2 linked regions of the Anolis sagrei genome follow. The protein of the gene in region 2 purifies or fractionates together with the protein of the main gene of each other region. This does not show direct contact. Links are inferred from orthologs where the notes say so. Each region holds a gene or a part of one and is shown on either strand. Other genes may lie near its edges. The genes, in order: PPP2R2D and PTPDC1.

Region 1 (8,808 bases), on a different chromosome or scaffold from region 2:
TATTCAGCTGTGAGAATGGAGCCGCAGTTCAAATCAGATATTGTGGGATTTTCTGCCTTGATATTCTGGGTTAAATGGCCATGTGGAAGTGCTCAGAGGCCCCTTCCACACAGTTGAATAAAATCCCAGATTATCTGATTTGAACTGAAATATATAGCAGTGTTGACTCAGATAATCCAGTTCAAAGCAGATATTGTGCGATGTTCTGCTTTGATATTCTGGGACATAGGGCTGTGCGGAAGGACCCTGAGTCCAAACTACTATATATTCCAGTTCAATATGGGATTTTATTCAGATGTGTTGAAGGGGCCTGGGATGGAGGCTTTGATCCCTTCTATGCTGCCGTATAATCCAGGTTATCAAAGCGGATCATCCACATTATCTGATTTGAACTATGTTATATGAATCTACATTGCCCTATATGGCAGTTTTCTGCAATGGACTCAAATTGCAGGAAAGATATTCCATCTAAACGTGAGGAAGAACCTCCTGACGGTAAGAGAAGGGATCCTTCCACACAGCCATATAAGCCAGGGATTTCCACAAAGCTCTATATCCCAGAATATCAAGGCATAAAACCTCACATTATCTGAATGTGGACTCAGATAACCCAGTTCAAAGAGATATTGTGGAATTTTCTGTCTTGATATTCTAGGATATAGGGCTGTGTGGAATGGCCTCTTGAATATCAAGCCAGAAAATCCCACAGTATCTGCTCTGAACTGGGTTATCTGAGGCCCCTTCCACACAGCTGAATAAAATCCCTCATTATCTGCTTTGAACTGGGATATATGGCAGTGTGGACTCAGATATTTTGGGATATCGGGGTGTGTGGAAGGACCCTGAGTCCACACTGGCATATAATCCAGTGTAGACCCACACAGCCCTATATCTCAGAATTTCAAAGCAGAAAATGCTACATTATCTGAGCATGGACTCAGATAATATAGTTCAAGGCAGATATTGTGGGATTTTCTGCCTTGGAATCCTGGGATATAGGGTGTGTGGAAGGGCCCTGAGTCCACACTGGCATATACCGTATATACTCGAATATAAGCCGACCCAAATATAAGCTGAGGCATCTAATTTTACCACAAAAACTGGGAAAATGTATTGACTTGAGTATAAGCTGAGGGTGGGAAATGCAAAATAAAAATAGATACCAATAAAATTACATTAATTGAGACTTCAGTAGGTTAAAAGCTTTTGAATATTTACATAAAACTGTAATTTAAGATAAGACTGTCCAACTCCGATTAAACCATGATTCTCAACTTCTTCCATGTAAATGTGCTCATCTATCCTTCCCATAATAATTAAGAGAGTAAAATAATATATGTAATAATAATAAATAGAGAAAAATAATAAATGCAATATAAACAATCATAGAGAAAAATAATAAATGCAATAATAATAATAGAGTAATTTTTTTTTGTCGTGTCAGGAGCGACTTGAGAAACTGCAAGTCGCTTCTGGTGTGAGAGAATTGTCTGTCTGCAAGGACGCTGCTCAGGGGACGCCCGGATGATTTGATGTTTTTATCATCTTTGTGGGAGGCTTCTCTCATGTCCCCGCATGAGGAGCTAGAGCTGATAGATGGAGCTCATCCACCTCTCCCTGGATTTGAACCTGCAACCTGATGGTCTTCAGTCCTGCCAGCACAGGGGTTTAACCCACTGTGCCACCGGGGGCTCCATATAGAGTAAAATAATAAAAGTAATAAAATAATACTAATAACAGAGTAAAATAATAAATAATCTCGATTCGAGTATAAACCAAGGGGAGCTTTTTCAGCCTAAAAAGGGGGCTGAAAATCTAAGCTTATACTTGAGTATATACAGTAATCCAGTGTAGACCCAGGGCCCTTCCACACAGCCCTATATCTCAGAATTACAAAGCAGAAACTCCCATATTATCTGAGTGTCAACTCAGATAACAGAGTTCAAAGCCGATATTGTGGGATTTTCTGCCTTGATATCCTGGGATATAGGGCTGTGTGGAAGGACCCTCATTTATTTATTTATTTGGTAGTTTTGTATACCGGTCTTCTCACCTCCATTCGAGGGACTCGGGCCGATTTCCAACATCAATATTACAGACCGTCATTAAAACATCATATTTCTAAATAACACTAACACATTAAAACATTGAAACAATTAAAATAGCAAAAATACAATCATATGATTACAGTGGTCAGTCGTCATTAAAGTCATTATTCGTCGTCATCCATCCATATCACAGGATCATGGCTCATTCGTTGAATGCCAATCCCCAAAGCCAGGTTTTCACCTGTTTCCTGAACGTTAAGATCGAAGGAGCAGTTCTGGTCTCCAGTGGAAGGGAGTTCCAGAGTCGAGGGGCCACCACCGAGAAGGCCCTGTCTCTCGTCCCCATCAGCCGCGCCTGTGAGGCCGGTGGGATCGAGAGGAGGCCCCTCCAGACGATCTTAGTAATCTTGATGGCTCATAAGGGAGGATACGTTCAGACAGGTAAATTGGGCCGGAGTCCTTTAGGGCTTTATAGGTTAAGACCAGCACTTTGAATTGTCCTTGGAAGCTGACTGGCAGCCAGTGGAGCTGGCGCAACAGAGTAGTATGCTCCCTGTACCCCACTCCCATTAGTAACCTGGCTGCCGCACGTTGTACTAATTGAAGCTTCTGGGCAGTATTCATGCAGTTATTAAACTATATGGCTGTTTTCTGCAATAGATTAAAACTGCAGGAAAAAGATATTCCACCTAAATGTGAGGAAGAACCTCTTGACAGTAACACTGGGATGGAGGCTTTGAAACACGAGGGTGGGTGGCCATCTGTCGGGAATGCTTTGGTGGTGTGCTTGAGCATGGCAGCGGGGGGGGGGGGGGGGGGGCTGGAGGGCCCTTGCAATCTCTTTCAGCGTTGTGATTCTTCAAATAAACCTGAACGAGCGCGGGGGAAGCGGTGTGATCATAACGCTTTCCCCTTGTAGGGTGAGAGGGCAGGGGGAGCGAGGCCTTTACCTTCCGCCACGTCCTCGTCGATGGCCCCCTTGACCTGGGAAAAGCACCACTGGAAGTCGTTGCTGCCGCCGCCGCCGCCTCCTCCTCCTCCTCCGCCGGCCACTCCTGCAAGCGAGGGAGGAAAGAAAGAGAGCGCTGAGGTCCAGCCACCCCGCCAGGCCCTGAAGGCGCCTCCCCGGCGACTAGGCCCAAGCCCACTGCCCTGCCGCCGGCCCAGGGCCCTCCTCTCCGGCCTCGCCTTACCTGCCATGTCGCGCGGCGCGTGCCGGCCGGAGACTGGCCCTTCTGCCAAGCCCGCGAGGCCCAGGCACCCACCGGGGCGGGAGGCTAGAGACGCCGCTTCGGCTTCCGCTTCTGCCGCTGCTTCTGCTGTGGCGGCCAGCGCCGCCGCCGCCGCCGGAGGTTTGGGGGTTTCAAAATGGCGCCCATTGCCGGTCAGCCTGATCCGGTGACGTCATCCCTCCGCCAGCCTCCGACGGGCGGGGGGAAGAAAAAGAGGGCGCGAGGAGGATGGAGAGACTAGGCCCGGAAGGGAGGGAGGGAGGGAGAGCCCGGGATTGGGCCAGGGAGGCGCACGAGCCGGCCGGCCTGCCTCGGAGTTTCTCCTTCCCTGCTTCCCCTAAGGCGGTCGAAAAAAGAAGGAAAAAGCGGCTTCTCGCCCGCCCGAGGCACAAAAAGACCTTCCCCCCCTAGTGGAGAAACCTGGGCATGAATGAGGCTGGCGTGGTTGGCGTCGCCGCCTGCCTCCAATTTGGGCAGAGGCAAAGGAGAGGCAAGGAAAAGTTGCTCATCGGGACTGCAGAATGGCCCCTTCCACACAGCTGAATAAAACCCCACATTATCTGCTTTGAAGTGGAGTATATGGCCGTGTGGACTCAGATAACCCAGTTCAAAGCAGATATTGTGGGTTATTGGGTTGTTGTAGGTTTTTTCGGGCTATAGGGCTATGTTCTGGAGGCATTATCTCCTGACGTTTCGCCTGCATCTATGGCAAGCATCCTCAGAGGTAGTGAGGTCTGTTGGAATTAGGAAAAAGGGTTTATCTATGGAATGACCAGGGTGGGACAAAGGACTCTTGCCTGCTGGAGCTGGGTGTGAATGTTTCAATTGACTACCTTAGGAGCCCCCGGTGGCGCAGTGGGTTAAACCCTTGTGCCGGCAGGACTGAAGACCGACAGGTCGCAGGTTTGAATCCGGGGAGAGGCGGATGAGCTCCCTCTATCAGCTCCAGTTCCTCATGTGGGGACATGAGAGAAGCCTCCCACAAGGATGATAAAAACATAAAAAATCATCCGGGTGTCCCCTGGGCAACGTCCTTGCAGACGGCCAATTCTCTCACACCAGAAGCGACTTGCAGTTTCTCAAGTCGCTCCTGACACGACCAAAAAAACCCCTGACCACCTTGATTAGCATTTGATGGCCTGGCAGTCCCTGGGGCGATCTTTTGTTGAGAAGTGATTAGATGTCCTTGTTTGTTTCCTCTCTGTTGTTTTGCCATTTGGAGCCATGGAGAAGAAGAACTAAACAGTTCCTGGACCATCTGAACAGCATCCAACCAAATATACAATTCACCATGGAAAAAGAAAATGAAGGAAGACTGCCTTTTCTAGATGTCCTACTCATTCGTAAACCAGATCAACAATTGGGTCACACCGTTTACAGAAAACCCACACACAGAGATAGATATCTACACAAAAACTCCAACCATCACCCAAGTCAAAAAAGAAGCATCATTAAAGTCTTTGCAGACTGTGCAAAAAAATCTGCGAAGCCCACCTCCTCCAAGGTGAATTGAACCACCTCAACTGGGCTCTCCAGGCCAATGGATACTCCACCTCAGACATCAGAAGAGCTGCAAGACCGAGAACAAGCCATGAGAGTCAAGACAAAGACCCACCCATAGGAAAAGCGTTCTTGCCATACATCAAGGGAACCACTGACCGCATTGGGAAGCTGATGGGGAAACATAACATACAAACTATCTACAGACCCACCAAGGAAATCCAACAAATGCTACATTCAGCAAAGGACAAGAGGGATCCTCTCGCCTCTGCAGGAGTCTACCGTATACCATGCAGCTGTGGACAAGTCTACATAGGGACCACCAAACGCAGCCTTGCCCAAACACGAATCAAGGAACATGAAAGGCACTGCAGACTACTTCAACCAGAGAAGTCAGCCATAGCAGAGCACCTGATGAACCAACCTGGACACAGCATTTTATTTGAGAACACAGAAATGCTGGACCACTCCAACAACCACCATGTCAGACTACACAGAGAAGCCACTGAAATCCACAGTCATGTGGATGATTTCAACAGAAAGGAGGAAACCATGAAAATAGACAAAATCTGGCTACCAGTATTAAAAAACCTCTAAAATTACAATAGCAAAACAACAGAGAGGAAACGAACAGGGACATCTAATCACTTCTCAACAACCTGTCCAAATGTATCTTCCCATATGAACCATCTCTGAGATTAAGATCATCTGGAAAGGCCCTGCTCTCAGTCTCACCTCTTTAAGCGCAACTGGTGAGGATGTGAGACAAGGCCTTTTCAGTGGTGGCCCTTCAGCTATGGAACTCCCTCCCCAGTGACATTGGATCAGCCCCCTCCCTCCTAGCCTTCAGAACAAAGGTAAAAACGTGGCTGTTGGATCAGGCTTTCAGAGAATAGTGCAGTGCAATGAACAGATTTGAAATATATGGAATGACTATGGAATGGCTTGGACTACGACTATAGGTGGCGTAATTTTAATATGGAATGTAATGTTTTTAAATGTTTAATATGTTTTAATTTAATTTTAATTTTTGGCATTGTATATGTTTTAAGGCATTGCATAATTGCTTCTATGTAAGCCACCTTGAGGCAGGGTGTAAATAGTTTAAATGAATAAATAAATAAATGTTGGATTTTATTCAGCTGTGTGGAAGGGGCCTCTCTCTTGGCCCTTCCACACAGCCATATAACGCAGAATATCAAAGCAGATAATCCACAATATCTGCTTTGAACTGGATTTTCTGAGTCCATACTGCCATATAATCCAGTTCAATGTGGATTTTATACAACTGTGAGGAAGGAGTCCCTGACTTGTCTTGTCAGAAGGGTATGACTTTGTTCTGGCATCCATTTACAGTAGACTCGGGTTCCTTCCACACAAATGTATGAAGATAACGAAATACTCTGTATGCTTGCATGGGAGAAAGAGAGATTAAAGTGCAATGTATTTTTAATAGGAGAAAATGGTCCCGTATGCATTAATAGATAGAACTATACCGTATAAAAATAGAAGTGGGTCCCTGCTTGCCGAAACACCGGTGAATGGAACATGCCATGCTAAATTGCTCCTAAGCATCCTTATCTTTATGTTATAGGGTAGCTGCTGAATAGGATATGCCTTTTTGATATCAATTCTGATACTACCAAGAAAATATAAGAGTTTATATAACACAAATTTTAAGTGTTGGTGAAGAAGGTAAAATGTAAGCAAACCCACTTCTGCTTGTAATTGTTGCAAAGAATGCTTCCAAGATTATATAAGTTTCAGCATTGTCATCTTCCTCCTGCCCACAGCATAAATATTTGAATCATTCCCCAGTCCTTCAGCCAGAACAACTTGTTCTTTGGATCATTACACACATGTTGCTGCTGTCTTCATGAAACCTTGGCATGGCCTGTAAGATCCCAATTTTAAAGTGGTCTCCGGCAGAAGGACAGTTTTGCAGTGGCCAGTGGAGTTATATGTGTTGTGTGCCTTCAACTCATTTCTAGCTTACAGAGACTACCAAAAGGTGAACATATCTGTGCAGGTACAACTGTACCAGTAGCTCCAATTTTGTTTGCTTAGCATTGAATGTTTGTTGCAGTCCTAAGTTTCAGGGACTCTGCAGATAGGTGGCTTCTTTTGGCTGCAATCATAGGGCAAGCCACCTGTCAATTATTGTTAGGCTCCCTGGTCCCGCCCCTTTTTGAGTTTTAGTGGGAATAGGGGCCATTTTGAGTTCAGTTCTCACAGAGAAGCCTTTCGCACAGGACATAAAACGAAGAGCTCATGTAGAAAGCTTTGTCTTCTACGGCTTGGCCGGGGAGATATACAGCCTACAGCTTGGCCCGGGAGAAAAGGCCCCACAGCTTGGCTGAGGATTTTACAGCCTTACAGCTCCTTTGCTGAGGGACTTCGGCCAGCCATCACAGCAACCTGAACTCCTTCTTTTCCCCTGGAAGTCTACAAAGCTCTGCTTGGCAAGGGTCGCTCGTGGAAGCCAGACACAGTTGGTACCGGGTGCAGGGGCTCCACGCCAACAGAGGCAAGTACAGACTGCCCAGATTAGAAGTTAAGGATTTCCCCATTAGTTAGTATACAGTTATGAAGATAGTGCCTGTTCCCAGTGAACAAGACTGCAAGAGCCAATAGACTGTTAAGAAAGCTTTAAAGTACCTGTTTGTTTGTTGGATTTTGAACTTTGTTGGATTTACTTTAAGCCTCTACAGAACTTCGTTTTGGGGAGGTCCAAGGGCCTTTAATCTGAGGCAGCCCCGGCGTCCCATTGGGCACACAGAATTTATGTCCCGTCTACAGTCATATGCACAGGCCCAGCGTGCGACAGCACAATATCATTTCATTTTCTTGGCAAGGTTTGTCCAGATGAATCATAGAGTTGGAAGAGACCATAAGGGCCATCACGTTCAACACCCTGCTATGCAGAATCACAATCAAATATGGTGTTTACTTTTGCCTTCCTCTGAGACTGAGGCCCCTTCTACACCACCATGCAAAATTCTGATTATCTGCTTTGAGTATCTGGTGGTATAGACTCTTATAATCCAGTTCAAAGCAGATAATTTGGATTATCTGCTTTGATAATTGGATTGCGTGGCAGTGTAGAAGGGGCCTTAAAGACACAACTAGCAGAGTAACATTGTAGTAGTATTTAATTAACATTGATTATGGGATTGAATTCAGACAGGATATCCCATTGTGAGGTGCAGTTCAAGCAGGTTCAAGAAAAATCCTTTAGTGGGCTAGCCAGGCCCGTAGCCAGGATTTTGATTTGGGGGGTGCTGAGTTTGATTCGGGGGGGGGGGGGGTGAGTTGGATTCAAGGCAGGGGGCTGAGGATCTACCCTAGCAAACCTTTTGTATTGTTATCCCAATAGCCCCATGCATATGGGATATATTGAGCATGGTGATCAGATCATAATATGAATAAACATAACAGTTTAAATAATGCACCAGTAAGGCCTTCTCGCGGACCACCCTGAGAATTTCGGAGGGGGCTGAAGCCCCTCAACCCCCCCCCCCCCCCCGCTACATGCCCGGGGCTAGCAGTAAAGCAGATAACGGCAGCAAAAGAGCAAAGGACAAAAGTATATTGCATACAATAAATGATTACATCCAGGGCAGTTTAGCTATGCATAAGCAGATACATAATAGAGGTGTATAAAGTTATGCATGATGTGGAAAGGGTAGGAAACAGTCATCAACTGTTGCTGAATCATAGAAGATCAAGGACTGATAAAATGACACATTTTGTCACATGTACGTATGTCCCTTCAAGTCGCCTGCCAACATAATGGCCCTCTTGATTGCATATGATATTCTTAAAAAATATCAGATATAGATTTGCCCATTCCTTCCTCTGGAATATATCCTACAGAACCCAACTTCGTCTCTCATCCCAGGACCCTTCCACACAGCCATATTACCCAGAATATCAAGGCAGAAAATCCCACAATATCTGCTTTGAACTGCATTATCTGAGTCCACCCTGCCATATATCTCAATTCAAAGCAGATATTGTGGGACTTT
Region 2 (9,502 bases):
ATTCTAGTGTGATGAGGTAGTTGCTCAGGAATTGAAATCAGTGTAGGAACACGGTAAGCTTTTGTAATGGTTCCAAATAATATTTTTGAAGTAAAGGGTGTGCAAAGTAGTAACATAGCAATACCTATGGGAAAATGGGGAGCAACCATGTTAATGTTTATCACTTTTTAAAAATGCTAGATGAATGCTTCCATGCCTTAAATGATACTTTGGTAAATAACTCTATACCTTTTGTTGTTGTTTGTTTAAAGGTAAGCATGAGAACAGGGCAGAATTGAAAATGAAAACAAAATTTGATATGAAAACATCATCACAAGTAATTCAACAGGTATCTCTAGTAATGTTTTCTGTCCCACCAAACCCTCTTCACTTTACGATAGCTCTCATGCCAAATTCTCAACCTGCTAACTGAAATCAAAGAACATCTTGAGTGTTTTGTGGCACATATTCCATAAAGAACATTGGAATATAAATGTAGGCATGCAAGCAGCAGTTAAAAATGTGTACTTTGTGCTTGCTTTCTGTCAGAATACACATTATACATATGTACAGAGTGTTGAACAATCTAGTAAGGCTCATACATTGTGTACACTACTTTGAATTTCAGAAAAACAGGTTTCCATTGATGTTGTAGTTTAGTATCTTTACCTGTTCTGCCAAGTCCTGCATGACAATGAACAGCTACTCTCCCTTCCTGTAAGGCAAAAGTCATCACTTTTACCATATCGAGGATAGTTGTGAGAGAGGCCACGCCATAATCCTTCCATCCAAAGTTATAAAAATAAACTAGAAAGAAAATATTGTAGAACAATAGTGTTATCACCATCAGAAGACCCTAAACAGTGTAATGTATTGTATTATAACACAAATAGTGTTAAGATTTGTATTCAAAAAGAGATCTGAGCAGATTTAAGAACAACATTTTTGTTTCCTGCATTTTGGAATTTCTCTTTGAACTCTAAATTCCACTTGTAAATCAGACAATGTATTTCCCAGAAATCTTGATTTAGAAGACCTATGATAAAACAAAATGAGTTGAGCACACATGTGTATGCAACCTCTCCAAACAGAATACACTTAAATAGGAACAATATAACATTTTGCCTAAAAATAACAACATCCCTAATTCAATGACATCTTTCTCAAACAATTGAAAGTCTTCTCAATTTGAAAAATGTGGCATTTTCTGTGGGACAGGGAAGGAAGCCTTCCTGAAGAAGCAAAAGACAATGGAATCTGCATGCAATTGTGATCTTGTCAGTATACAATACTATCACAGATTCAGCATCACTACTAAGCACTGATACCCACCTACTGCAGGCAGTTTACTAATTTACTATCATGCTTCCACACTGGATCAATGCATGCTTTACTTCCCATTCTCTACAAGTTGTCTTTTTAAGCAAATATTCATCAACTCGCTGCTTTTAACCTAGGAAGTAGGTGGCAGTAACAGCCTGCAGCACCATGCTTTATAATTATAAGGAACAACAGCAGGAACAAACTTACTTCCCGCCTCCATGAAAGCCTCAGGAAGGTAGGTGAAACCGCTCTCTTGTTCCAGTGGATTCCCGCAGCTAGCATGTTCCCCAGGACGTTGGAGGTTAATTACTGTTTTTATACCACATCTTAGGCAAAGAACAAGATGAGGCATTACTGAACTAGGCACACATTCAGTCTCTCCCCCAACCCTCCAATGTTCCTTCTTAACTTCAAATAAAATGTCACAAACAATCCAAACAAAGCCAGGAAAGGAACAATACACTTGCTTTACAAACAGAAAAATATAGCAATTTATTCCAATATAGTCATTTTACCTTTGGAACTGTTCAATAATATTATACTTTTCAATAAGTTCTGTTGAGGGTCGAGACATGGCTAAAATATTATCTGTAACCCTGAGAATGTGGGGAAAGAAGTGAAAAGTTAGGGGTTAAAATATTTCAGATTCGGTATTCGTAGGTAATTTTCTAGCTAATAAGCCATGACAATTTAGCTAACTATGTGCTTTCAAGCCATTAAACGCCTTTTATCCCTATGTAGCTGGAACACTTTACATAACAAAATGCCATTAGGGTGCCAAAAGCTTGTGATATTTAGAATGTGCGTAACACAGGATATGCATACATTTCTATATCCATCATAGCAAATAATTACACATTCTTTTAAAGTGTTCTTTTAACAGCTTTATAAAATGGTTTATACAATTTAAGCTCCTGGTTGAATGTTTCTATAAGAAAAGCCATGCACTGAACTGTAGCCAGGAGCTGGATCCAGTCTGTTTTTTGAAGATTCCTTTTGAAATCGATATGACAGGTTTACTGTGATTGACATCCTATTGAAATAAATAATAGTCTAGACATCACACACCATTTTTCACAATTTAAGCATGAACCCAAGACCTAGAGCTTTCCTAACCATATTTATATGGTTCATGCATGGTTACTTGTTAGTCACGCTTCATTTAGCTGGTTTACGTATATGAAAGATGACTAACCCAAATCTGTATATAATTTTTTTCTGAAAGTAGGCTCTTGCTTGATCTTGGAAGCTAAGTGGGGTCAATCCTGATTAGTGTTTGGATGGGAGACTGTCAAGGAATACTAGGTGTTGTAGTCTATATTTCAGAGAAAGAACTGACAAAACAACCTCTGAGTATTCCTTGCCTTAAAAACCCCTATAAAATTCATGGGGTCACCATGAGTGGACAGGCAATTTGAAAGTACATACACATACACACAATCTAATCTGAAACTTATTTACTGAGAAGTCAGTTCGACAGGACTTAAAACTGAGGTGTAAAAGAGCAGAGATTTAGATATTCACATGATTTTTTTAAAAGTCTAGCAGAAGCAAATACTGCACACTACCAGGAAGAATAGAGCCCTTTAACAGCCTGTTCTTGGTCACTCCATCGAGTTGGGTTTTCATATTTGCAAGCACGGCCACCACATGCCATAGAGCATTGCATATGACCAGGGATGACATGGCGAAGACGCTCTCCAACTTTTGTGTATTTTGCCGTAGGACGCCTAGACCTTCCTGCAACAAAATTCAAGACCAAACAAAATCTTTCAAGAAGATATAACTCCTACATTTTTTCTTTTTCTTTACAAAATGACAGTTGCAAAGTATTACCCAAAAATGCTTGAAAAAAAATAAATTAACCTTTTTAATGATATAAAGTGACTCAAACATTCATCTCTGCTTAGTTATAGCAAAAAGACCACAGATACATTGACACAGAGCAATAAAAGTCCAAGCATAATTCATACAAAGGAAATTGCCAATACTTTACTTTTTCTCTCATAGAAAGCAGCATTTAATTCCTCTGGGTTTACGGAGGAAATTGCCACCATAACTCTGTGTGTAGAAGTTGAGAGGACCTCTACCACTGAACTCCGTCGCCTATGAAGTACGCGGAGAAGAGGATCGGAGGAAGAATGTCTCCGACCCTGAAAAAAGTTGCTGAAAATATTCACTGTCAGGCGTCTCCTGGGTGAGCCTTGCATGATCGGTAGCCACTACTTGCAGCAGCTTGGATATGCTGGAGGAAGTCAAGCCGAGCGAGGAATCTGACTTGCTCAGTACTGAACTTACAAAGAGACATGCATCTTTCTGTATGATCTAATGGCTGCTCCCGATAGGCTGGCTAGTCTCCATGGAAACCAACAATGAACTCACTGAAAAATCCTATATCAATTGATTCTGTGTGGGACACACAATGTTTCCTGCTGGATTACAATCGCTCAAAGCAGATTATTCCCAATGGGTCAAGAACTCCCAAATAGTTTCATATGAAAAGGGAAAAGTTAAAGAGTCTTGAATAAATGCTCTTCTTGGATAAGAGGCAGCTTCTCTATAGCACATACTTTGAAACTAATAGTGTTCAAGAAATCTCAACTGAAGTGTCATGAATAAAATCTGAACTATGTGGAGTATTTTACAGGAGAAAATAGCCTTTCTCTGGAAAATGCCACATGATCATTTTCTAACACAGTACATTTATGTATCATACTGAAATAAAAAGTTTTTTTTAAAAAAGATTGTAAAGTATCCAGTTCATTTGCATTATATAAGTAGCAAGAAAAGGCACAATGAAACATGTTAAGAAAATGTATAGAAACAATTTCAAAAGTGAAACAGAAAAATGCACGAATAGGGAAATTAGTCCTCCTCACTTGAACAGAAAAACAAAGGGAGCTCTTATTAGCAAAACAATAGTTCAGTAATCCAAACATGGATTTACATATCTGCTGACTTCAGCTTCAGCAGTAACCTCTACATAGGTAGTCAGAGCAAACAAACCAAAAAAGAAAAGAAAAACCCAAAAGTGAGAAAACTTCACTGATAAATAGGGCTATCAGATAAAACACCGAATAGAAGTTCTTTGAGGACAGATTTTTGTTGGAAACCACTAGAAGTCACTCGAGGACTTTCCAAAACAAACAAAAAAGGCTGAAATTCATAGATATGATTTTACAGCAAAACAAGCCAAATAGTCTAGCCTATCATAAATGCTAAATTACAGCATATGGAGAAACAAATGATTTACTAAACTTTATTAGCCAAACTAATAGTCAGTTACATTCTGAACCTCCTCTTTGGTGTAAGCTTCAACATTTTCCATGATTTGCAGGCCCGAATGTGGAAGAAGACATAAATGAATTGGGCAGTCTTGCTGATGTTATAACCTGACATGTCTTTCCTCTTCCTAATCCTTGCTAAAGGACAAAAATAAGTTAAGTTTTGCTTCTGAAAGATCAGATATTTATATGGATGTCACAATTCATACTTGATTCTCCTGGCATGTTTTAAAATTTTTAGATAATAAGAACTAACAAAAGCTAGAGTGGGAAGTTTGGGTTAATCAGTACAGAGAAAGATTATTTTAGAACACAGAAAAACTGAACATGTATCATGTCTTTGTAACATTCATTCACAAATGTACCTGTGGAGGAGGCACTGGGGAAACAGCAAAGTACAGTAATCAATGCTCTGTCAATTTAGTCACCCAAAATAGAGATCTGTATAACAAAATTTTAAAAAGCTTCTTTTTTAACTTTCATGATAGGTAGGCATAATTACTTTCAACCCCACTCTTGATTCAGGAAAGGCTGGTACAGCTTTTAGACAGGGATGAAACAAAAGCCTGTCAGATTTAGATGTATTATTACAGAGAATAAATTATCAAGTTTATTATTTACAGTTTGATGGCCAAAATGCTTGACTTTTGGATTTTGTATATCAAGCAGCAAAGTTTTTTTTTATTATGGGTACATTCAAACTTTTAGAATGTTTAAAACAAAGGGATTTGTAGTTTTGCTGAATGTCAAACAAGGTTGGCTTTTTTCAGCCTTGTTTGCTATTAATTAACATATGTTAATAGCAATTAACTAGCACAGGGATAAAATGTATTTTAATATCCACATATACATCAGCCTCATGTATAAGTCAAGGGAAAGATTTGGGGACAAAATTATGGATTTTGATATATTTTCCCCCATGTGAGATGCCATTTCATTCTCAGCATTTGAGGTATTTTATTGATATAGCAATCTTATTTCAAAATGGCATTATTACAAAATGTAAAAATCCAGCTAAACCAGAAAATTTGAGACTTTTTTTCCTGGGCCCTCAGTCATTGGTCCTGCCCTCCAATTCTTTTTATCACAATCACAATCCCTATTGCCAGCCTGATTACACAGGTGCAAAGTGGGCCAGAATGGCCTGGTATAGATAAATACATCAAGAAAGGCAAAAGCTGTAAAGCTAAATGCAAGCAACAGGTTCTACCAGGAAAAAACCCTCAAATAACCGCAAGTGAGATCTAAAGAGAACTGCAGAGGGAAGAGTTCTATTTTAGTCATCTTTGTCTTTTGCTCCATGTTTAAGGATGCGTGTGAACTCAATGTAGCTGAAATTGCCCTTTTTATCAATTGGTGCCTCTCTGAACAGCTCATCTACTTCTTCATCTGTAAATCTGTCTCCCATTGTCATCAACAATTCTCTCAGATAATCTTCTTGAATGAAGCCTGTTGCTTCTTCATCAAAGCAAGCAAAGGCATTCCTGATTACAACTTCCTGATCAGTGCCATTTAATTTCTCTCCAAACATTGTGAGAAACATAGTAAAATTTATGGGTCCGGGAGCTTCATTCATCATGGCATCTAGATATTCATCAGTTGGATTCTTCCCAAGTGAAGCAAGCATATCATGCAGGTCTTCTTTGTCAATGAAGCCATCTCTGTTTTAATCAATCATGTTAAATGCTTCTTTGAATTCTTGAATTTGGGACTGATCAAACATAGCAAATACATTGGAAGTAGCCCGCTGAGGGTGCTTCTTTGTGGTCTTGGTCTTTGCCCTTTTGCTTGACATGGTGGCTGTTGGATTCTGAGTGGCAACGAAGAAGCTTCAGCTGTAGAAGAAGCCAAGAGAAAGACCAGTGGCTCTGGAGTACAGGAACCCAACAGCCGCAGCACTTCCGGAAGAGCCAGTTCATTCTCATTTCCAAAATATACCAATTCCTCTTTGTGATTCTGTTTGGGTTATCTTTTGACAAGATATAACATAATCAGTTTGTCTACAATGTATGTAACATATGGAGTTCACTGAAATCGGGATGTTATTTTAACACCTATGTTGTACACTGTACATTTAATGAAACTGGCACAGGGATAAATCTGGTACCAGCCCCTGGCACAGTGGAAAAGAAATGTTAGTCAGCCACATCAGATATTTAGGAAGCAATGTTTACTGTCTGGAGCAGGGGTTCTCAAACTGTGCTCTGTGGAGTCCTTGGGGCTCCAGGAGTGATTTCCTCCTCCTGAGAAATGCAGAGAAATTAAAGTTTTGAGCTGCTGGAAATAGCAGCAACGTCCTCCAGGGCACAGACTCTTTCTCCTCTGCCTCCCTTGCTGCACAAGCTCTTTTCCTCAACATCCTTCTACCTCTTCTTTGCTTCCAAACCCCTATTTTCCTCCCACCTCTCAGGGGGTGCTTTGATTGTGCTTTTCCTGCATGGCAAAAGGGAGTTGGACTGGATGCCCCCTGGGGTCTTCCATGTTGGTGAAAATTGTTCTTCCTTTTAAATATTGTATTTTTCTTTCTTTCTTTTTGCACAACAAACGAGATATGTGCAATGTGCATAGGAATCTGTGTCCCTCTGCCCCCCAATTACTTCACACAAACACTCTCCATCCATCTGCCACTGGCCCTGCCCATCTGTCAAATTTTAAAACGCATGACAGCCCCCTGTGTCCAAAGGTTTGCCCATGCCTGATATATATATTATGCATAATATATTAGATAATATAGTAGATAATATATAAATGTTTCTTAGGTCTCCACAATAAACTTTTGTTTCAAAAAAGGCTCCACAGCTGAAATAGTTTGAGAACCCTTGTTCTGGAGAGACAAAAAGACCAAGAATTACCAATTTGTGCAACTTTTGGGCAGGGTCTACCGTTAAAGCATTTTGTTCAAACTATGACTTAAAAGAAGTTATGATAGTGATAATCTGTCATTCTGTTAATTTTGTTTTCCACTTGCACAATGTTATCATTTCATTAATGATTCTGCTACAGCTGCCCATTTCCTACCCAACCCCCTTTGTAAAAGTGCCTCTAGAAAGTCACAGAAGAACTTTTTCTGAAGATGGAAGCCATACTAGATCTAAATTCTGTTACAACTACACGTCCACAGTAAGATGGTGAATGAAGTCGGACTGGTCTACTGCTAGGCTATTTATGCAGCTGCCCAGCTGAGATAAAGGTTTGGTGCTACAGCAGTAAGACACAGCTTTCCTACATATGATTCCATACATGTTTTCAATCCTCAAGAACAGTGCATAAAAATAAATAGGATCCTGAAACTGTCAAGGTAACATAGGATCACAGATAAAAAATAAATTGTATGTAAGATATGTGCTGCGCTTATGACTAGACATGAAGAATGGATAGGTAACTGGCACAACATGTTGACTAAGGGAGACAAGTTCACAGTGCAATTCTATGCTGTTTATTCAAAATTAATAAGCATCAAGGTCAACAAAACTTCCTTCCTGGTACAGCTGTATAGGACTGCTTTCAAAAACACTCACATTTCAGCTGAAGGAAAGTATAAGCTATTCTTCCAGGAACATACTTTTATTTATATCAAAAGAACACTATATTTTCTAAGACAGTATTTCTCAAACAGTGCTTCTCTGGGTGTTTTGGACTTCAGCTTCCAGAAATCCCAGTCAGTTTACCAGCGGTTAGGAATTGGTGTCCAGAACATCTGGTGTCCAGAACATCTGGAAGAGTACAGTTTGAAAAACTCTGATCTAAGATACCAGTGGGTACAAGAAAGAAAGGGGGGCATATTTCTTGTACCCATTGGTATCTTAGAACAGATAAGGGAAACTTAAGATAAAGGAGACTCAAAATCATGTTTCGGCTCTGCCATAGCTATGACTTGAAAGTTATACCCTATTTGCTTCCAGTTCTCATCTGTAAAATGGGAGTAAAGTAAAACTCTCATAACCACATGGATATGTTCCAAAACCACAGATAATCACAAATACTATTCAAATGAAGTACTTCTGGCCCAGGAATAGCACAGAGTCATGCTGGAGGACCTAGAAATGCCTAGGGACACTATATTTTGTTGAATGTGGATAAATTAAAGAGCAAATACTGGTTCCATGAAAACTGGGGTTGTACTGAAATAGCTTATTATATTCCGCTGCAGTAACACAAGAATAAAAACAAAAACATTCTCACTACTCTATTTAAAATTAAAGTGGTCCCTCTTGCCTTGAAAACTATACAGCTTCTTCAAATCTTCAAAATCTTGTAACAGCTTAGGTGTCATCTCTTAGTTTTTCAGTTCTGTACAGGAATTCTTTCAAATTTTCATCCATGAGATATGTAGTATTAAAAAATGATTACCTGAATTCATGTCTGCAAGATATGCACTGCTTGTTACCAGAGAACAATAAGGTAATTCATTTTGCAGTAGGACTCCTGCAGCCATTGCAGTACCTGTTGAAACAGAACATTTAACACTGATTATGTTTTCTACATCTGTTGTATGTTGGCTGTAGGGTCTTGAAAGGTAAGCAGAAGAAAAACAATAGGATAGAACATATTGACTTATGTCTACAAGTTAATCCAAACCAGAGGAAGCCAAAGATTAACATTTTTGGTACCGTTTTCCTGAAAATAAGCCTTACCCTGAAAATAATCCCTAGAATGATTTTTCAGGATTTTTGAGGATGTTCAAAATATAAGCCCTACTTCAAAAATAAGCCTGTTGCAGTTAATTTAAAAAGTAAATGTAAATAGTTCAGACAGCTATACATATAAAAAAAGTAAAAGCAATTGGTAATAGAATGCAGCAGAGCATAATAAACCCTTCACCACAGAAACAGACACCCCCAAAAGAATCACACTCAAAAGACCCCAAGAAACCCAAAACGCCTATCACAATTTATCCGCATTCAACAAAATATGGG

What was found.
Region 1: the proteins of PTPDC1 (region 2) and PPP2R2D purify together in Homo sapiens (affinity purification with mass spectrometry; 5 studies listed by BioGRID and IntAct, counting the BioPlex papers as one, with this or other methods). This does not show direct contact. The link is inferred for Anolis sagrei from reciprocal best matches to the Homo sapiens genes PTPDC1 and PPP2R2D.

Annotation. Positions count from the first base shown.
Region 1 is NC_090023.1:191,354,223-191,363,030, forward strand, and holds the start of PPP2R2D (serine/threonine-protein phosphatase 2A 55 kDa regulatory subunit B delta isoform), read right to left. Parts: upstream 3,619-8,808; 5' UTR 3,249-3,618; coding exon 3,242-3,248; intron 3,104-3,241; coding exon 2,999-3,103; intron 1-2,998. UniProt on the Homo sapiens protein: Substrate-recognition subunit of protein phosphatase 2A (PP2A) that plays a key role in cell cycle by controlling mitosis entry and exit. Involved in chromosome clustering during late mitosis by mediating dephosphorylation of MKI67.
Region 2 is NC_090022.1:62,538,309-62,547,810, reverse strand, and holds the start of PTPDC1 (protein tyrosine phosphatase domain-containing protein 1), read right to left. Parts: upstream 3,994-9,502; 5' UTR 3,513-3,993; coding exon 3,299-3,512; intron 3,043-3,298; coding exon 2,871-3,042; intron 1,899-2,870; coding exon 1,818-1,898; intron 1,629-1,817; coding exon 1,510-1,628; intron 787-1,509; coding exon 649-786; intron 1-648. UniProt on the Homo sapiens protein: May play roles in cilia formation and/or maintenance.